3 linked regions of the Caenorhabditis elegans genome follow. The protein of the gene in region 3 purifies or fractionates together with the protein of the main gene of each other region. This does not show direct contact. Each region holds a gene or a part of one and is shown on either strand. Other genes may lie near its edges.

Region 1 (5,766 bases), on a different chromosome or scaffold from region 3:
TCACTCGTAGCTTTATTGGATTCAACTTGTTTCAGCTTGACAAAGTCGACAAGCTGCTCGTGCATCGGTTGAAGAATCTTATGGTAAACTTCACGACAGAGCTCTTTTTTAATTTTGAAAACTGCTTGTGCCTGAGCTAGTGCGAACACAGCAGAGAAGTAGACAGTTGCAAAATAAACGTCATCGTATTTAATCTTCAAACACAGTGCCCAAAATTCACCAAGTTCTTCATAAAATTCAGGTGACCTGAGGCCGAATGCATTTCGCTGGTAAGTTGTGATGATGGTTGCAACAACTTGCGGTTCCAAACCAATATTTGTATCTTTCTGAATGAGAAATTTTTAATCTTTAAAAATACACCAACAGAAATCAAACCTTTTCGGAAATTTTTTTAAGAAAATGCTTCAGAAACAGAGGTCTGCTTTTGAGAGAATATCTAGAAGCTGTTTTCTCTAAAAGCTTGGCTGATTCTGTTATGTCGTTCATCCCAATTCCATATCCATTGAATATTCGAAGAGCAGCAAGCCAAAATTCTACAATTTTATCAATTTCGGGAGCTTCCAATTGAGGGATAAGCTCCATTCGTTTGTAAATCTGATTAAACACTTGAAGCATCTGACATGCTTGTTCTTTGTGATAAGTTGATTCAATTTGAAAGAAATTTGTGAACTCTTTCACTTCCAAATGGAATCGGGTCTCTTCTGAAACAACGTGTGGAATATAAAAATATTCGGAGTCCTTCTTGAAATCTTCGATCACTGAAATACGCATTTTTCAATTGAAATTTAATTCTACAACTGCTCTTACCGAGGATAGGATGAAAGGGAGAAACAATAGCGAGCTCATTTAGAAATTTCATGGGAATGTTGACCTTATTTGCATTGAGCGATATTATAACATCCTTGAGTAATTTTTCAAGAAATCTTTTCGGAGCTCCAGATAACCTCAGAATTCTACAATTTGCAGTCATTCTTCTTGCGAGAATTTCGATTTTTTCAGTATTTTTCGCAGACTCGATTTGTTTCCAGACTTCTCTACAATCATCTGTTCTTAAAATCCAGCCGTGCCTGTAATAGTAAAAAAAGTGAACAAAAGCTGAATAAAATAAAACCTACTCTATCATTATCTCCACTGCAATTTCCACAGTGACAGATGATTGTTGTTTGATTATATAGTTACACATTTCTTCCAACACCGCTTGATTTTCCAATCGATTCATCATTTGTCGAACTACCGTTTCAGATATTTCTAGAGAAACCGTCAAGTCCCATGAAATAATTTCTTGTAAGCATCTAACGAAGACATCTTCACATTTTTCAGCGCTGAATTCTTCATCGAAATTCTGAAGAGCGAGAAGAACTTCTCCAATATTTTTGGAATCCAAAGCCTGTGAAAGTTTTGACAATGCACTCATAAGGTTAGTCATATGGTGCTGAAATATTGGGGATCCTTTGACTAAACTTGAACATGGAAAATACCTAAAAAGGTGAGAACAAATCATTCAATAAATTTGAAACACTTACTATGCCGAATTTATTCTCAAAACACGAATCGAATGAGAAAGGAAATGAAACTGGATAAAAATAAATACGGGGAAAACAAGGAAAAGAGAAAGCAAAACAAGAATTTCGGAAAAATGGAAAGAAGTACCAACCCATAAAAAGCCGGATAACAACCGAGTAAAGTTTAGAAAATATTACTTTCCAGCTGTAGCTTCTTCGGCTCGGCGAATTGCGGCACGCTTTCCTACGACAGCCTTGAATCCACTCTTGATTGCTGTAACAGAGCATCTGGAACCACAGTTAGTACATTGGAGGAAGAAGAGACGAGTATCCTTGGTGAGCTGTGTTTCTGGCGACTTGCAAGTATGGCACATTACGTACTCCTCTGAAATACAGAAAATATACAATTTTTGGGAAATTTCTATTTTTTACTGATATATTTCCGGAGGACACTTTCAAATTGTTTCTGTTGCCATCTTCCTTTCACAATCAAACAGTTACTTCCGTCGATGGATCCAGTCGTTCCCAATTCCGCGAGCAAAAATTGGAGCACGTGTTTGTCTTGTCTTTTCATAAGCCGGCAAATTTCGAGGAAGTTGGAGAAAGCAGTCTTCTTTGATCCAGCTCTTGCAACTTCTGGGAGCTTGATGGCGAACTTCTTCTTGTCTCCAGCAAAGTCTGGATTTTTGTCTTTCATAACCTGATAGACAAGAGTGAGAGCTTCTTCGTATGTGTAATCTGGCCATGCCCCTTTTGCATCGATCAAGTTTTGAGCTCCAATTCCGATTTCTGAATTCATAATTATTTATTTTGAAAGAGTATTGTGCAAAATTATAGTTTTATAACTTTGTAATAAAATATATTACCGAGAGTTGGAACTTTCTCTTCAACTACTTCTTCGCCGGCTGTCTTTGGAGTTTTCTTCTTCTTTTTAGCTCCAAGGTTTAGCTCGCCTGTAATTTTGATTAATTAACAATCAGATACACATCTTCATCAGCTCACCCAAGCCATCTTCTACAGCTTCTACGCCGGTCTCAACAGGAGCATCATCGCCATCGATTTTGATCACCTTCTTAGACTTCTTCTTTTTTCCGAGATCGAGACCCTGGAGAAATATAAATTCAATTTGAAGACGAGATAAATTAACTTTACCAAATCGTCAGCCATAGTTTGTTTGTTTTGCTTGAAGTACAAAACCTGGAATTGAAAAATCATTTAAATGAAGATGCGAAACGATTTTCATGAAGAAAGGTAGGCATTTTGAATCTCGTAATATACATACAATTTAAAAATACATTTTATTCACTAAGTTTTGAAGATTATTTGCCGTTTCAGTTATTTTAAAAGACAAAATGGGTTGCGAAATGCAAAAAATGAGAGAAAACTTTCAAGGCGCATGAAGAATGGCTGTGGTGAGGTCTCGCCACGATTTCTCTTTGAGGCTGGGGGAGATTTACGAGGAGTGAACACTTTTTTTTTTTTGTTCTCTAAATGAGAATTTATTTATTTTGTTCAATAAGATTAGAATATGCGAGTTTATTGACATATTTTATATATCTTTAGTTGATTTTCTATCGTTTTTCTATGATTGATAGTATTTTCTACTCTAACATCGAGTTCTGACGCACCTTTGAAAATTACTGACTTGGCAAGCAAAAATATATCTTCGCTGAATCCTTTTGAGCTGTTAAGTTTAACAAAAATATTAAAATCTATTTTAATGTATTGTTTTGAACTGATTAGTACATAATTGATACTCTCGTCTCTGTATTCCACTTGCCGTTACAATGTTCGTTGTTTTTCACTAGCCAGGACCGGTCTCACGGAAAATCATTGTGAAAAAAAGAAGCAATCTGCTATTAAATAATTCCCATGCGAATCCATATATGATCTTAGTACTGCCATTTACTTCTCATAGTCAGAAAAAATACATTTCTCTAACAATCTTCATATCAAAAAACAACCAAATCCGTCGGCATCGCATCACAAATCCGACTAGTTTGTGACGTGGGCCAATTCGTGCCTACCTCGTTGCTCTCAGCTTTTTCAGTTCTGATAGGAGGAGTGGGAGGATAACTAAATTGACAACAATCAGCTTCGTTATGGCATCCTTTCAATGGAAAGAATTGGTTCACCGATTGACAATGAGTATCTAAGCGCAGCTTTTGTGTGGAAAACGGAAGAAAAGGACGAAGAAGTTGATGTTGCAGGACGTTGGAGCAGAAGAAAGGCGGAGCTCTTAGTGTTGCGAGATTGGCAGCCGGAGACTCGTTGGCTCAGCCAGGCATATCGCCGACGAATTGCTGCTCTCGGGTCGCCGGTGTCGTCTCTGCTCTCTGCTTCATCTTGGCTCTTCTGACCCTCTCTCGTTCTACACGGCCGCGCATAACAGCAAATTCTCTTCGTTACTACGCTCATAGATTTGTATATTTCAAAACTGTAAAATTTCATATATTTATTCGAATTTAGAATACTTCTAATTCGTTAAGTGTGTCTGACTCTGAGGTTTTCTGAGGTCGTATTGAATATTAAATGCGGTATTTATTCCAGTTCCGTGAATTTAATAATAGGAATTTGCAGTTTTCAATCTATTTTACTTCTTCCTCCAGTTTTCTCAATCCAAATTTGTTAATTTTGATTTAAAAACATTTAACATCGTAAACCATATTTACCGTTGATTCAGTTTGTTGTTTATTTTCTTTCTTTTTTTTTGAAAAAAAAAGCGTATGCTTGTATTGTTTCTGAAGACGGTGAAACCAACGTTTGTAAAACAAAACAAAGTGACAACGCCGCTTCTTCACTATCATGGTGGTTTTTGCAGTATCATTAAAAGCGGAAACGGTTCAATCTTCTTATCACCAGTTTTGCGTCAGTATATGGAGAAAATTAAAAAATGGTCGACTATTTTTGGAAATTGTTTCGTATTTTCCAGAAAGCTTCTTCCCGAATGTCTTCCTCATGAATGATTTAGCTACTCTCACCTTCTACGTGTCTTATCTATTCAGTACAATGCACTTAAGGGGTTTGTCGACTGACTCCATTTTTCTTTTTTTTTCTGAAAAGAAAACAGAAGCCAATTTGGTTTAGTAGCCTAAGATTTTCTGTACTTTCCTTTTTCTCGAGAGCGCCCTAGGGAATCCAATTTTGAGGCTGTTGTGGTCTTCATTACTAAAATAGATCAGATTCACAAAAAATTTAATATTTCTCATTATAATTTGCATTGAAATTTAGATAACGAAGCTAATTATTTCTTTAACTTTTATTCTTCTTTAAAATTCTCATTGCCTTCATTTATTATTATTCCAAATTTTATTCTCTTTAGCAAAAGCATACATAATATCATCGTCCGAACTCGCGCACTTTTCGGCTTCCTTTTTTTCGGAACAATGATAATACTCTTACAAATATGTAATAAGGTGGCCGCACTCGGCGTCTTTCCTTCCTCTATGTTCTCTCTTAAACAAAACATTCATCGCTGATTCACCATGGTTATGGGCTCGGCCACTATGCTCCCAGTTCTCTTCTAATTTCATTTTTAGTTTTTGTTAAACACAAAAAAATAAATTGAAAATAGGCAAACGGGATCGTGAGTGACGGATGAAGCATTCCAGCATCCAATTTCCCTCCAGTCCCATGCACTACCATTCCGAAGAGCAAAGCAAGAAATACACGTTTTTATGTGTGTCTATGTGCATCTACGAAATTAAGCATCGAGCTCTCATTCTCATTTCATATGAGATAAGGTCAAATGCAGTACGTCTTCTTCTTCTTCATCATCTTTTTTTCTCTCAATAACCAAATACAAACGAATTCTTTGTTTCCTACTCTCTTTCTCTTTGAACAAGCACTTAATTTGATAGTTTGGGCAACGCCTTGTAAGATATTTAGTGATACTTGATTACCAAAAGCGTTTCAAAATTGTTGAAAAATTATTTTTCTTAATTCAGCTCTGGTTTGATTTTTGAAAATTTAATTTTAAAACTGAACTACTTGAAGGTGGAATTCGGAAAATGGGAAACTCTCGCTAATTTCCGTTGGTGTTGTTTGAAAATGTTGAAATTTTCGATTTTTTAAATTTTTTCTTTTGTGGTATTATATATATATTAGAATATTCCGTGTATTCTAAAACGAAATCCATATTTTTTGAAACTCTCCTTTAAGCTATCTAGGTCTTTATTATTTCTCAATTTTTACCCATTATTTTTTTAATTTTCAATATTTCGTTCGTTGATACCAATACATTTCTGCCGTCTTCAGCTATATA
Region 2 (8,784 bases), 5.5 Mb from region 3:
ATCAATTCAATCAGAATTCTAGTGAAATGTTTAGTCTTCATTAGTTCAATTCTCAAATAGAAACTGCACAAATCTCTGACCCCATTTACAAATCAACCTAACTAAAGAGAGTACCCCGTCCCTTCCAAACACAACACCTAGTAATTGAAGCCCATGGCGGCGGGCGCCACAAAGTCGACGCCTAATGGCGTTGAAAAACAAGGTCGAACAGCACATTTCGTGTTAGAGTGAAAGAGAGAAAAAATCACAACGAATAACTACCTGAATCCGAAGTTTTATTCAGTTGGGGGAGAAAGTGAGGGATTTATGGATTACATGTAACGGCTGATTTGTACTAGAACATACGAAAAGTTAACCAAGAGAATTCTGACTTCAAGATAATATTAGCGTCATACGATAGTAGAAAATTTCTGGTGAACCCTAAAAACTCAAAGAACAAAGTTGTTTTACAGTAGGTTGAAAATTATTTAAAAATTAAAAATTGAAGGTCTCAATGTAACCAACAATTATTTGCCATAGACTAAACTGAAAGCCAAAAAGGAAAATTGTTTCTGTTGTGATGGAAACGTCATTTCGTTTGAGACCAACACGACCTGACAAGCCTATAATCAAGAAATTTCTTTTTTCCGGAAAAATGAAAATATGAGTTATATTTTACGTAGTAGGGGATTTCTTTGAAAATGGAGTATAGTCAATTGGAAAATTATTTTAAAAGCTGAAATTTTAAAGGAACAACGAAAAACTCGAGAGAGATCTAAAAACCTTGCTAAACTCCGTGTTCGAATTATTTCTACAATAAGAACTGGAAGACCAATTAGCGAATCGCTCCGCCCACTTTTGAACCAATCAGATTGAGTGGGCAAAGCTCGAAGTCACTGATTGGTCTTGCAGTTATCAGTTTGGAGGTAATTAAAACAGATAAAAATATATTCGGTTTTTTTGTGAATTTTTGTGAATTGTTCACTTTTTGTGGTATAGCTATATTTAAATTTCATGGAATTAGGGTACTTTGAAGAAAAATCCCCTTTGAACTGTACACCATTTTTTAAAATTCGTAAATCTCACAGATTGCTAAGAATGGTACTGTAATTTCAAACTTAAGTTGCTGTGGAATTTTCATTTATTTTTCATATTTCTTTTTAACTTAACATTAATAACACATACATTTTAACGAAGCGTGAAAAGAAACTATCAAAAATCAATGAATATTCCACAGCAGCGAAACTTTCAATCTACAGTAATCTTTAAAGGCGCACACATGTTTGTATTTAACAAAAATTGTCGTGTCGAGACCGGGGACTGTATTTTTGGGAAAAAATCACAAAATTTTGCGTGCGGGTAATAAAAACTTATAATATATCAAAATTGTGTTATATATATATGTTCAAACCATTGGTACGGTTTTACTTAGAAAGAAGGTAAAAGCAGGAAGCACATCCAGGAGAGGTGAATCATGAATACAACTGGTGCCTTCAGAAGTGTATGGGGCCACTGCTTGCTTGCCCCATACCATCTATCCTATTTTATTGTATTACCCCCCGTCTCCTCTCTGTCCACTCATGACGTCTCCGTCTCTACAATCAGCGTGCTCTCAGTGTCTCATTACGTCGTCTAAAGCACCCTCATACAGGTGCCCCAATGTGGCTCGTTTCGATGCGCCTCGGGCACTTTCTAAGTTGCTCTCGGACAAACGACGACACGCCCACTCGTTTAAGTCGTTCAAGTCGTCAGCTACATATGTCTTTATTCATATCATTACTCATAAATACTCAAACAATTGGGGTTTACGGAAAGATGGATGTGAAGAGAATATAGGAATTCTCAATGAGGGTCAACAGGGGATTCGGGGAAATTTAAATAACAACACCAAGAAAGTTAACGAAACAATTGATTATAGATGCGTGTGATTTTATAATTAGAGAGAAAGTGGGGGAAGGATAACCAAAACAGGAAAAAAGACAGAAAAATCAACCAGGATACTAATTTTAAGGACATTCGAGTAATTTCTGAAAATTGGATATGGAATCAGCACAAATTGAGCATGTGTTTATTTTCTCCAACTTCCACTATCGGCATTTCCCGTGTTTCCAGTGTTGTTAGACCGTGGTGGTGGTCCGTCACGACGAGGCAACGAGTTGCGGCCAGTTGGTGGTGGGCCTCGGAGTCCTTGAGCCCGGTCTGGTGGGCTTGTCACATTGGAATTTCCAGATCTAGCAGGAGCGGATTGTTCCTCGGAACCACCTGCTCCACCACCTCCTTGTCTGTTTCGAAGATGGGGTGGCACGAACCTCTTGGGTCCTTCCGATTTCGGTTCAGAAACTGAAAAATGATTATTTTTTTAGGTTTGTAGCGACAAATGTTTGAACAATAAAAACTAATCTTACCTGATGGGGCATCGGTCTTTGGTGGAGAAACGACTGGCTTCACTCCTCGTTCCCACTTATCCCCAGTATCAGCCTTCGATGCTGGACGGGGTGGATCATTGCGGCGAACATCGTCGTTGCGACGGACATCATCGTTGCGCCGGAACTCGTCGCTGCGGCGATCGTCAGGTTTACGAGTTGGTTGAGCAGAACTTCTCCAAGAGTTGTCAGTATCAGCTTTAGAAGATGGCACCTCACGGAATGGCTCTCTAGGTTCACGATCACGATCTCCACGGAATTCTCGAGGTTCACGTGTTGGTCCATCACGCATTGGTCTCGTTTCTCTTGGAGGCAAACTCTCACGTGGTGGGTTACGTCTCCAATCATTGTCTTGCATAGCAACCGAATTCTCCATTTCTCTACGACCACGACCATCATTGTGTTGACGACGTTGTCCTTCGATAACTTGGAGACGGGCACGCTCCTCTTCTTCGCGTTTCTTACGTTCTTCGGCAATCTTCGCCTGAATAGCATCTTCCTTTCGCTTCTTCTTACGATCCTCAGCACGTTCGGCAAGACGATTATTACGAACTGCCTCGAGCTTCGCTTGCCAATCAGACAACTTCTTCTCAAGAGTTTCCTGGTTGTCGATTTTCACCGACTCGACCCAATCAAAAGTAGCGTCTCGCACTTGATCCCACATTCCCCATAGTTTGACGTGTGAGTCATGAGCAGCACTGGAATATTATTTTTTATTACAATGAGAGATCAAAAAAAAGAAAGAAATCACTAATGTTAAAAATAGAAAAATTCTAATTTTCCAAATGAAACAACAAAATTATTAATATATGATCTAAATCGTGTTTATCGCAAAACTTTTGTGCATTTCATAATGCTAAGAACGACGAAAATCCTTCTCAAACTCAAACTTGCAGGAAAAGCAAAACTTAAGAGAAAATTTAAATAGACGCTTTCGGTTTTCTAAAATTTTAGTAGAATTTCAAAAAATTAACATTAATTGAAAAAAAAAACTTACATTTCCTTGGCTATTCTAGCCTCTTCGTATAAATCGTGAAGTTTTGGAGCTTCAGAGAGTCGCATATTCATCACTGCACGACGCTCGTTCAACTCTTCCAAGTGAAGAGCGCGAACATGATGGTCAAAGTTCTTCTCTTGTTGTTGCAACCGACGTTGAGTTTCGGCACGCTCCTTATCCAATCGTTCTCTCTGCTCACGCAGCACTTGCTCGGGATCCATGTCTCTGAATTGCTCGAGACCCTTTTCTTTGATAATTTCTTGGTAGATGGCGTTCTGCTGCATTTTGTAGAGCTGATCTTGCTTAATCTTCTTCTGAATCTCATCCTGTTCTGCTTGCTTTCTTTTCCGTTCGCTCTCCTTGTTCTGCTCATCCAATCTCTTCATCTCCTCAGCACGAGCTGCTTCCTCACGTTTAGCTTGTTCAGTTGCAGCCGCAGCAGTCTTTTCAGCCTTAACACGCTCCCAGTTCTCTTTGTAGTTCTCCAACATCTTCTTGCGACGGTGGATACGCTCGATTTCAGTTGGTCGGTTCTTTTCATAACTAGTGACCTGTCCTTCAATCTTTTTGAGAATCTCTTTGCGTCGTTTTTCGGCATCGAGTCCTTCAACGAGACCACGAAGACGTGTATACATTGCTTCAAGATGATTACGAACACCTTCCACTCCCAATTGAGTATCATCTCCAGTGAATCCTTCGTTGTTATCGCATTCATCGACTCCTCCGGCCAATGTCGCATCGGATGATCCAAAGCGAACACAATCAGCACGATGATCCAATTGAGCTTTCACAATTCTATGTTTGCTTGCTTCAACGACGAGACGCTCCAATGCCAAGTCAGAGTAAAATGGAATAATCTTTCGAATTCGTTCCCAGCTGATAGCTTCGTAGATGACAGATACTTGCTTCAAAGCCTTCACAGCAGCAACTGCTTGAAGAGACTCAACATATTGCAGATGGTCAGGGCGAGTGACAGTATCAAGAACAGATTGAACATCCTTAGCTACTTTTAATGGTGAGAAATTACTCTCAAGAAGCTTGTACAGATCCTTGGCGGTTTGTCCAGCAGCTTCTGGTACTCCAATCCGTGCGGCTTCCTTGAGAATTCCGTTTTTAGTTGGAGCAATTGGAAGACGAAGCAAATTTGAGAGAAGTCTCATGTTGGCTACATGTTGATCCTCAATATCAAGGTTGCGAGACAAATCAGATGGCGAATCTGATCCTTCTGGGATGGAAAGAGTAGCGAGAAGCACTCTAGTAGCCTGTTCTTGTGCTTCATCCTGTGTGAAAGACTTCTTCATATCTTTGTAAATGATGAACTTTTGAAGAAGGGCGGCGGCGTGGAACAAACTGTTTCCTGCTTTCCAGAACACCAATGCAAGTTTGTCATAATAATTGACATAGCTTGCAGGTTTTACCGTTCTCTTGTCTTTGTCTTTTGAAAGCTGCATCATTCCGTGAACGTCTTCTGCGCTTCTGAAAAAATAACATATAAAATTTGATTAAACAATCAATTCACTGGAAAAATAATCCCTCGCACATGAACTTTAAAAAAAAACAAGAAAAACATACTTGTAAGCTTCTTGCCAGAGCTCCATCTGAATCGCAGTATCCAATTGAATCAATCTGGTGTCTTGCATAAGACCTAGAGATTCTGGAGAAGTGAGTTTCACACGGAAAGAGTTTCTGAAAGAACAGAAAATATTTTAATTAGCGTTTACTGAATAGTGTCATCACTTACACATTTGGAGCATATTGGTGTTTTTGTATCTGATTCAGATGCATACGGAGGAGATCGCACAGCTTTCGGAACTCTGTTCTACGTTGATATCTGAGACAGAAAGTGAAAGAGTGGCGAGATATGGTGTGGTAGAGTTGTTCAACTTGGGCGTTGTTTCTCAACAATTCCAGACAATTTCTGTAAGAATCCCAGAGAAAACGGAGCCATGGTGCAAGAACAGTACGATCCATTCGATCTTGAGCAGCTGCTCCAGAAACAACAGCAAGAAGAAGGCGTTCAGGAACATCTCCTTGATCAAGATCTCCAATTTCTTCGACTTTTTCGATCGATTGTTTTTGAGCATCTTCAGTACGCTGCTCTGCGAGTTTCAAAAAATGCACCACAACTGTTTCGAGAGATTTCACATTGATCTGAAAATTAATTAATTAGCATGAATAATTTGCATTACTGTCAGTCAGAATAATAATTTTCTACTCGCAAAAGCAATCGTTAAAAAAAAGATAACCTGTTGAGTTAGAGCCTTGTATTGAAACAAAGCATCTTTTGCCAAGTGTTGTTTCTTCAGATCTACACACAATTCCATGTGCTTAATCATGATTTGTTCGTGAACAGTTGTCCATTGCTTGTGTCGTCTGGCCTACAACAATTGAAAATTCAAAGTTTCAAATTAGGAGCATTCTAAAGCCTACCTTGATAGTATCATGAAGCGTGTCAAGGGCATCGGACTCTTTTCCAACTTGAATGAGTTCTTCGGCGCGTTTCAATGCCGCTTCGGGCTTTTGAAAATAATTCGGAGCCATAGTTGTGCTCGGATTACCGCTGAATTGAGACACGAAGCCTGAAAATTGCGAAATGAAAAGAAGTTTACATTAAGAATCAATATTTTTTTTATAGAGCGTAATTCCAAATTCGAAATGTATTTTTAAAAAAAGATCACAAAAACGGTTCCGAATTTCAATTGGATCGATGTTAATTTGTACATTCACATTTTAATTGATCACTTTTTAACAGTTCGCCAGCAATTTAGCTATTACACTAAATTAAAAACTTCTTTAATATGTATTTACTGTAGAAGCTATGAAAATAGTTCAACTTTGCACATAGTACTTCAATAATCTAGACTTTTTGACTCGTTTTCAATAGAATAACATGTTTTCTTACGAGAAATCGATAAATTTCATCATTTTTGAGAAAAATTTGCACTATCATGAATAGAAAATTGTTTTCTATCATAATTTCACAACAGAAACATCAAAAAATTGCGGAAAACACTAAAAATTCGCAAAAGATGGCTGAGAATCCGACCGATCGGTTGGAAAATGAACGAAAAAAGGCTTTCGCGGCGAGACCTGCACGCGGAGAAAACTCTACGCGCCTTTAAAGCGCGAGTGTTATTTTCATCAGATATCCACAATGTTTACCCTTTCTTGCTAATTTTTTAAAGTTTTTCTTCAAATCAATGTTTAAAATCAATTGAGTTTTCCCAGTTCCACCTAAAATTAAAATTATAATATTTTATTCCACAATCACACTGAGAAAATCCACTTAATATAATCGATTTTTCCTGGCTGGTTTATTTTTTGCTGTTTTACAATACATTTAAACAATTGAATCGTTTTCAGCTTTCATAGTCGATTGATGGTGACTCCTCTTACTGGCACACACGAGGGTAATTGAATCTGAAAAGAATTACTAATATCTCCCTTCATTCAGGTGTATCGTGTGATGGGTGTGCTTTCACCGCGTTTGCTGGAAACCGTTACAAATGCCTACGATGCAGTGATTACGATCTCTGCTTCAGTTGTTTTACCACAAAGAACTACGGAGACCAGCAAACAATAGCTGATATCCCAATACACGACGAGTCCCATCCAATGCAGTTAATTTTGAGCTCTGTGGACTTTGGTAGGATTATAAATATTTACACATAACATTTGGTTTTATAAAAAATTCAAAGCTTTAATTTAATTTTATCGAAAAAAATTAACATTTTGAGTTTTTTTTGTAATAAATAAAATGACAAGTTTCATAGTTTTAACATAATTAAAACATCTATTATAAAAACATGGTGAGAGTGAGGATTTCAGAAAAATTAAAAATATATAATTTTCGTCCCCTAAAAAATTATGTTATCAAATATTAGTATTCTTTACAGACCTCGTATACCAAGGCGACCCTACGCGACATTATGACGAACGGAAAATTGTTTCCTTCACTTGTCCGTATTGTAATATAACAGGATTGACCGAACGGCAATTTGGGACACATGTACTTTCACAACATCCGGAGGCTCCGGGCTACAGTGTGGTAAGAGAAAATGCTAAACATAATATCCTTTAAATAACATTAATTTGTTAACGTCCAGATATGCCCGCTTTGTATTGGAAACACAGAGATGGAGCACATTCAATCGAAAGAAACTGAAAATTTGAGCGTACATTGGACAGAGATTCATCTTCATACGTAAGGCATACAAAAAACTCACATTTCCCAATATTTCTAAATATTTTTGAAAAATCACAAATTGTTACAGAATGGAAAACCTATTTCGTTCAACTGAACCAATAACTACTCGCCCAGTTCAGCGACGTCCAATGTTAGCAAGAAGAGGAAATCGAGCAGGAGTGTCACGAACAGCAGCACAAGGAAGGCCTTTACAGGACGAAATAGGTGCTGAAATGGCTGCTTTACTACGAAACATGGGTCCTGATTCTGTCGAAGATATCAGGCGATTTACAGAGATGATGACCGTACCGTTATTGCCTGGAATTCGAAGTTCGCAACGATTAATGACAAGTACTGGTGACCGACCGACTGTTGTTGTAGAAAGTGCCGTGACACATCAAGATCCGAATGTTCAGCAAGTCATAAGGCCATTGGCAACTATTCCGATTTATCCTCCGACTTCTGACGAATCAGGAGACGAGACTCCTCAGCCAGCAGCAGATTCTGCAGATGAATCAGAAGATGATAATGATATTCAAGAGTTGGATGACATGCAACCTGTGAGTTTTTCTCGAGAAAAATATAGTTTTTTCGTTTACTTGAATTTGTTAAAAATACCGTCAGTCGGGAAATTGCTAGAAACCAATTCGAGCGCTGAAATGAATAAATATAATATAACGTTCATTTAAATTTTCGAGCGAAAAAGCGATAATTAATCAGTTTTTGTAACTCTTAATTTTGAAACTCGACCATCAAGCAAGTTTTTAAAAAAATACTAGGATACCTGGAATGTTTAGATTTTGTTAGTGTATTTAGACACAATCCCCATTGGAACTACATCAATCTGAACAACATCGAAAAAATAAACTTGTAATGTTTATTTTAATCGTTTTCGAAAATATCCCGTTTGACGTCTTAAAATTGAAACTAGGTTAATCGAAGGATTAATCTTTACGAAGATTAAACAAATGCATATTTGACATTTCCAATTAAGATCGTCGAGGATGAAGCTTTAAAAAAGGACGAATTCTGGAAAACACTGAAAACAAGAATAAGCGAGGAAGATGTTGACTTGATACTGGAAACTATGAAATCAACTGCAAAAGTGAAAGAAGATATAGATGATAAGATGCCTGTTTGGACACAGCGTCCCTTAAAACGATTAGCAAATGCTGCTCAAGTGACGACTACGTCTGATT
Region 3 (6,777 bases):
AACCTAATTTTATGCCATTTTTCAATAAAAATATGCATTTTCATCTGAAATTCACTATAAAATTGCAATTTTCAGCAAAAAATCTTTTTTTTTTAGTGAATTTTTCATTTTTAAAGCTAAAATCAATTTTTTTTTCCTTGAAAATTCGATGAAAAATGGGTTTTTTAAAACGTTTTTTGTTAAATATTTGCTGGAAAATAGCGTTTTCTTTACGAAAATTTGCTAAAAATACGGTTTATCCTATACATTTTGCTCCAAATCGCGGGTTTTAATGAAAATTAGGTGTTTTTTGTGATTTTTTGCTGAAAATTGCAAATTTATAGTGAATTTGGGATGAAAATCCATATTTTTATTGAAAAATCCGCTTTTTGGGTGATATTTCAGACAAAAATTGTGTTTTTAAAAATCACTTTTTTCGTCGAAATATTGTTGCAAATTGCACTTTTCTCGAAAATTTGATTCAATCACGTTTTTTTTTGTTGAATAATTGCTGAAAATAACGTTTTCTCTACGAAAATTTGCTGAAAATTCAATTTTTCCGGAGAATTTGGCGCAAAAAATGATGATTTTCAGTGAAAAATAGGGTTTTTTCGGTGATTTTTTGGTGAAAATTGAAATTTTATAGTAAATTTCAGATGAAAAACCATAAAATCCTTTTTTTTTCTCAGACTTTTGTTCGGCGGATCTGGAAAAGATTTCAGTGGATTTTAGTTTTCCATATCCTTTTTTAAAAATAAAAATCAATTGGAATCAAGCTTTTTCTTGGAAAATAGAAGGGAAATCACGGTTTTTTCCTCTAAATATTGCCGAAAATTGCTTTTTTTATTTTTGATTCTTCGCTGAAAATTGAAATTTTATAGTGAATTTCAAATGAAAATCCATTGAAAAATTGGTAGAAAAATTTTGGTGAAAATCTCGTTTTTCCACTGAAAAATACGTCTGTTGGGTGAAAATTTGACGAACATCACGATTTTTCAAACGAAAATTGGCAAAAGTCTCATTTTTCACTTATAATCCATGAAAAAACCGTGTTTTATCTCGTATTTATCGTAAAAATCACGATTTTTCTACAAAACCTCGGTAAAAATCACGTTTTTTTAAACAAAAAATCGCGATTTTTCGTTGCAAATAAGCTCAAAATCACATTTCTACTTTAAAATTTCTGTGAAAACCACCTTTTCTCTAGTGAAAATTGACAAAAATCTCGTTTTTAATTTGAAAATTACGTTTTTTTGGATAAAAATTTGACGAAAATCACGATTTTTCCCACAAAAGTTTCATGAAATTTGCAAAAAATCACGTTTTTCCCTGGAAAATCCGTGAAAAACTGTTTTTTTTCCGTCAATTCAGTGAATTTCAGACGAAAATCCAGATTTTTCTTTGAAAAAATTGCTGAAAATCACTTTTTTTCAACAAAAATGGACAAAAATCGTGTTTTCTTCACTTAAAAATCCACGAAAACCCCGTTCTTGCTCGTATTTATCATAAAATTCACGTTTTTTGGTCAAAATTTGGCTAAAAATACTTTTTTTTTTTGGGTGAAATTTCCGTTTTAGTGAGTTTTTTCTTGGAAAATAGGCTGAAAATCAAATTTTTCCGCGGAAATTCAGTTGAAAAATACGTTTTTTGGGTGAAAATTCGCCGAAAATCACGATTTTTTAAACAAAAATTCGCTAATTTCCCCGTTTTTCTGTTGAAAATCCATGAAAAAACCGTGTTTTTTCGTCAGAATTTCCACACATACAGTATCCAACATTTTCGTCTTTCCAGTATCAACATGTCCAAGAACACAGATCACCGGAGATCTGAGGTTATCTGTGCTCCGATTCGCTTGAGCCACCTCCTTCCTCTTGGCAATTCGAAGCTTAATCCGTTCCATTCTCTCTTCGACCGTCTCTTTCTGTTGTCCACCACGATCCTCATCATCATCAGAAGAAGATTCTTCAGATTCTTCAGAATCTTCCGATTCTTCATCTGATTCTTCGTCGGAAGACTCTTCGTCGTCATCCTCGTCGGCATCAGAAGCCTTGGTGGCTGGCTTCTTCGGCTTCTCCTTCTGAGCTGAAGCTTCATCCTCACTGTGCGCCATCTCCCAATCGTCAACGGGCTCCGGGGTCTTCTCCTGCTCTGGAGTAGTTGATGGAGTTTCAGCAGAAGCTTCAGCAGAAGCAGAAGCAGAAGCATCAGCTGAAGCTTCAGCAGCTACCGGAAGCTGTCCGAGCTTCTCCAACCGCCTACGCTTCTTCTCTTCCTGCTTGGCTTTCGTCTTCTCATCAACATAGACAAATGATTTCTTAACTCCAGCAGCTTCATCTTCCGTAGAATCACGTGGAGCTGGAACAGAGTGTCCGGCGGCTCGAAGCTTCTCCAGAGCCAGAGCTTGTTGGCGTTTTTGAGCAGCTGTCTGGTAGGTTCCGGCGGCTTTTTGGCGTTCGACTTCAAGGCGTTTTGCTTCTTTTGCCGCTTCTTTTCGCTGGAAAAGTAGAGTTTTAATTGATAAAATAGGGAAACTTTGACGAAAAATCGAATTTTTTTGCGAAAATGCTCGAAATTTGGTTTTTTATTCATTTAAAATGCTAAAATGCCTTTAAAAAATCTCTTTTTGGATTAAAAATAGAATTTTTATGCATGAAATAGGGGAATTTTTGACGGAAAATCGGATTTTAATCCCAAAATTTTAATTTTTTTTGCGAAAATGTTCGAAAAATGGAATTTTTAGAGGATTTCGCTGGAAAACTTGGGGTTTTTCTAGTTTTAATATGCTAAAATGGCTTTAGAAAAGCAATTTTTGAATAAAATTGGGGAATTTTTGACGGAAAATCGGATTTTTAATCCCAAGATTTCATTTTTTTGCGAAAAAGGTGAAAAATTGGAATTTTTAAAGGAATTTCATAATTTTGAGTGAAATTTTCGCAATTTTTAGTTTTATTTAATTGAAATTTTCAACATTTTAATTGTAAAAATTAAATTTTATTTCGATTTTTATTAAATTTTAGAGCAAGAAAACTCGGTTTTTTTCCCAAAAAAATTGTAAAATTTCGCTTAAAATGGCAAAATCCTCCAAAAAATCAATTTTATTTCTGAATTTTAGGCATTTCTGCACCAATTTCAGCGAAAGTTGTCATTTTTTGTGACTTTTCGCACAAAATAAATATATTCCCATATTTTCAGGTTAAATTCCATGAAAAATCGGGGTTTTTCAAGGAGAAAAAGTCAAAAAAAATTTCACGGAAACCCAATTTTACAAAGACTGAGCCAAAAATTCCAATTTCAGGTTTTTTGTGCCAAAAAGGTTAATTTTTCGGGTTTTTCGGCTGAAATTCCACGAATATTTCGATTTTTCGGCGGAAAAGCCAGTTTTTGAAGCAATTTTCTGTTTCAGAGCGAAAAAATGCGAATTTTCATGATTTTCAGCTGAAATTCCACCGATTTTTTGATTTTTTCTTCATAGAGCACCTCCTTCTCAGCGTGCTCTCTCTCCAGACGCTCCTTCTCCTCCTGAGCATCACGCTCTTGTTGCTCTTTCTGTAGTCGTTCCTGCTCTTCACGTTCTTCTTGCTGCTTTTTGAGCATTTCCTTAATCAACGATAGATTTCCTTTCTTTGCTCCAGCTCCACCCTTCTTATCTTCCTTCTCTTTCTTCTCTTTTTCCTTCTTTTTATCCTTCTTTTTCTGCTTTTTCTTGTCTTTTTTATCCTGATCCTTCTCGTCTCCTTCACCATCCGAATCCTCTTCGACTGCGGGCTCTTCAGGCTTCTCCACAGGCTTTTCCTTCTTCTTCTTGCTCTTTTTGTCGTCTACCGGAGCAGCTTCTGGAGCTGCCACGGCTTCTGGAGCCACTTCCGCCACCTTCGGGCCATCCTTTTCCTGGAATGAAGCTAGAAGAGCATCTAAATCCTCTTCCTCGTCGGCTTCTCCCTTTTTACCCTTCTTTCCGGCCTTTTTCTTCTCTTTTTTCTCTTTCTCCGGCTTCTCCGGCACCTTGGCGGCCTTTTTCACCTCAGGCTCGGGCTCCGGCGGCTCAGAATAGTTTTCCTCGGGCTCTGACTCATCTAGCTGGAAAAATAATGACTTTATAGGTAATTTCTGCAAAAAATAATCACCAGAGCGGCGAATCCCTTCTTAGCCGGCGCTTTTGCCTTGGTTTTCGCCTTCTTCGGCTCTTCGTCGTCCCATTGAGCGTCGGCGTTGCTCGCCACACTCAAAGCTGCGAGCTTCTTCTCGGCGGCATCGTCATCCCTGAAAAAATCAATCAAATATTGAAAATTCATCGAAAAACCGGGCCGAATTACCAATCATCGTCCTTATTCTTCTTTCCTCCCTTCTTCGGCGGCATTTTCGGCGGCTTTTTTGCGCGTAATTGTGCGAGTTTTGTCTGAAATTTGAGTTTTTCGTGATTTTACACAAAAATTTTCAAGAAAATAGCGAAAAAACGAGGAAAATCGAAGAAAATCGGCTCAAAATTAGGCTAAAAATTGGAAGTCCGCAAACACCGAAGCTTACGCAAAATTGCGGAATTAAAGTTTTTTTTGCAGATTTTTTTGTGAAAAAATCGAAAAATTCGAAATTAGCGTTATTTCTAGCGGAAATTAACGAGAAAAATGATAGAATACACGAAAAGATATGACTATCTAGAACTCGAAGGACCTGGTCGAATGGATAATTTTGCACGGATTACACAATTAGAGCAATGGAAGCATCTGGAAATAATTGAAATTGATGGCATCGTTGATCAAATCGAACAGTTTTTTCATTTAAAACGGTTTACCGTCGGAATGGATGTCTTCTCAACACAACACGCAGTTGAATTAAGAGATGTATGTTACTTAAGATTTAAAGTTTTCACCTTAAACATTCAGAATCTCCTGAAAAGAAGTTCCTTCAAGATCTGCACAATCAAATTGGACATGTCAAAGTCGGACCCGATTGAACTCGCAAAAGTATTCAAACCAGATTATTCTGGTGGCATTAAATATACATTTGAGTTTTCAAACGATGATGCTGTGTTCGAGATTAATTGTACACCGCCGATTTTCAACATTTATGAATTTACAAGGGAAGTGAATATAGGGGTCCCCGGACTTTGGCATGGCATAGTATTATTTCGATAAAATAGTGTTACCGATGATCGCTCCAAAAAATCTAGCTGCCCCGGTCCAGGTTCAACAAAGTTATGACGTTTTGAAATTTCAGTTAAAAACACCATTGAAATCCACTGTCTAACCATGCTATCCACGCAATTCTCAGCTTGCGTGACCACCGAAAACGTGACACCCACCACATTGAGTTGAAAAATGTCCTCGGTGGCCGAGTTGGGAGTGCGCGCGTCTGTTAAGAATGAATCTTTGGTTCGATTCCTTCTATTTTTGAAATTTTTTTGCAAGTTGAATAAAGTTGTAAAACAACTCATTCAAACATTTTTACGCATTTTTAAAGTGATTTTATTCTTATTCGGGAACCCAGAATCATTTTCCGCACTTTTTGGAAAATTTTATTTTTTTCATTTTTTCTCAAAATTTCTTGATCAACTCCAAGCAAAAATTTCAAAAAATTTTATTTTTCTAAAAAAATTTTAAATTGCCATTTTATTGTTTAGAAATGTATGAAACGTATATTACACAAGTTTTAGCTCTTTATTCGCGAGTAAACCATCGAAATGATGTACATTTCATGAATTATGTGCAAAATATTTAACCAACTTCGAAGTTCCATAACTTCGTTGAGATAAATTATTTTGAAAAATGATCAACTAACGAATTGTTTGTTGAATAACAATGAACAAAGTTTTAGTTATAAACTATTTGATACCTTCAGCCACGAGGAAGAAAACAAGGTTGACATTTGGCTAGTTTTTCTTTTAACATTGGGTTCGGGAAAACAGTCACAACTTCTTGAGGGCAAAATATTTCAGAAAGTGTATAACTAAAACTTTGTTCATTGTTATTCAACAAACAATTCGTTGATCATTTTTCAAAATAATTTATCTCAACGAAGTTATGGAACTTCGAAGTTGGTTAAATATTTTGCACATAATTCATGAAATGTACATCATTTCGATGGTTTACTCGCTAAAACTTGTGTAATATACGTTTCATACATTTCTAAACAATAAAATGGCAATTTAAAATTTTTTAGAAAAATAAAATTTTTTGAAATTTTTGCTTGGAGTTGATCAAGAAATTTTGAGAAAAAATGAAAAAAATAAAATTTTCCAAAAAGTGCGGAAAATGATTCTGGGTTCCCGAATAAGAATAAAATCACTTTAAAAATGCGTAAAAATGTTTGAATGAGTTGTTTTACAACTTTATTCAACTTGCAAAAAAATTTCAAAAATAGAAGGAATCGAACCAAAGATTCATTCTTAACAGACGCGCGCACTCCCAACTCGGCCACCGAGGACATTTTTCAACTCAATGTGGTGGGTGTCACGTTTTCGGTGGTCACGCAAGCTGAGAATTGCGTGGATAGCATGGTTAGACAGTGGATTTCAATGGTGTTTTTAACTGAAATTTCAAAACGTCATAACTTTGTTGAACCTGGACCGGGGCAGCTAGATTTTTTGGAGCGATCATCGGTAACACTATTTTATCGAAATAATACTATGCCATGCCAAAGTCCGGGGACCCCTATATTCACTTCCCTTGTTAGTGTTAAAAGATGCTAATTTAATTTTTTTGTATTATTAAATGTATGGAGTATTCTGCAATAAAATCATTGAAATCAACATGTACAGTGACGGCCAATATTCTATTCGTTTTCGGTTTGTAGGTGATTAAC

What was found.
Region 1: the proteins of iffb-1 (region 3) and eif-2beta fractionate together in Caenorhabditis elegans (co-fractionation; one large-scale study listed by BioGRID). This does not show direct contact.
Region 2: the proteins of iffb-1 (region 3) and egl-45 fractionate together in Caenorhabditis elegans (co-fractionation; one large-scale study listed by BioGRID). This does not show direct contact.

What each region holds. Positions count from the first base shown.
Region 1 is NC_003279.8:8,025,094-8,030,859, forward strand, and holds eif-2beta (Eukaryotic translation initiation factor 2 subunit 2), read right to left. Parts: upstream 2,700-5,766; 5' UTR 2,670-2,699; coding exon 2,655-2,669; intron 2,608-2,654; coding exon 2,505-2,607; intron 2,456-2,504; coding exon 2,369-2,455; intron 2,292-2,368; coding exon 1,935-2,291; intron 1,888-1,934; coding exon 1,697-1,887; 3' UTR 1,522-1,696; downstream 1-1,521. Other genes in the region: C54G4.9 (RAP domain-containing protein), read right to left, coding at 1-326, 376-758, 808-1,067, 1,116-1,426. UniProt on the Caenorhabditis elegans protein: Component of the eIF2 complex that functions in the early steps of protein synthesis by forming a ternary complex with GTP and initiator tRNA.
Region 2 is NC_003281.10:7,822,649-7,831,432, forward strand, and holds egl-45 (Eukaryotic translation initiation factor 3 subunit A), read right to left. Parts: upstream 5,979-8,784; 5' UTR 5,941-5,978; coding exon 5,830-5,940; intron 5,778-5,829; coding exon 5,646-5,777; intron 5,551-5,645; coding exon 5,141-5,550; intron 5,086-5,140; coding exon 4,972-5,085; intron 4,876-4,971; coding exon 3,400-4,875; intron 3,101-3,399; coding exon 2,385-3,100; intron 2,320-2,384; coding exon 2,048-2,319; 3' UTR 1,729-2,047; downstream 1-1,728. Other genes in the region: E3 ubiquitin-protein ligase kcmf-1, read left to right, coding at 6,779-6,809, 6,854-7,045, 7,296-7,447, 7,506-7,603, 7,674-7,810, 7,880-8,145, 8,580-8,784.
Region 3 is NC_003281.10:2,312,034-2,318,810, reverse strand, and holds the start of iffb-1 (Eukaryotic translation initiation factor 5B), read right to left. Parts: upstream 4,376-6,777; 5' UTR 4,337-4,375; coding exon 4,293-4,336; intron 4,240-4,292; coding exon 4,104-4,239; intron 4,057-4,103; coding exon 3,457-4,056; intron 2,474-3,456; coding exon 1,745-2,473; intron 1-1,744.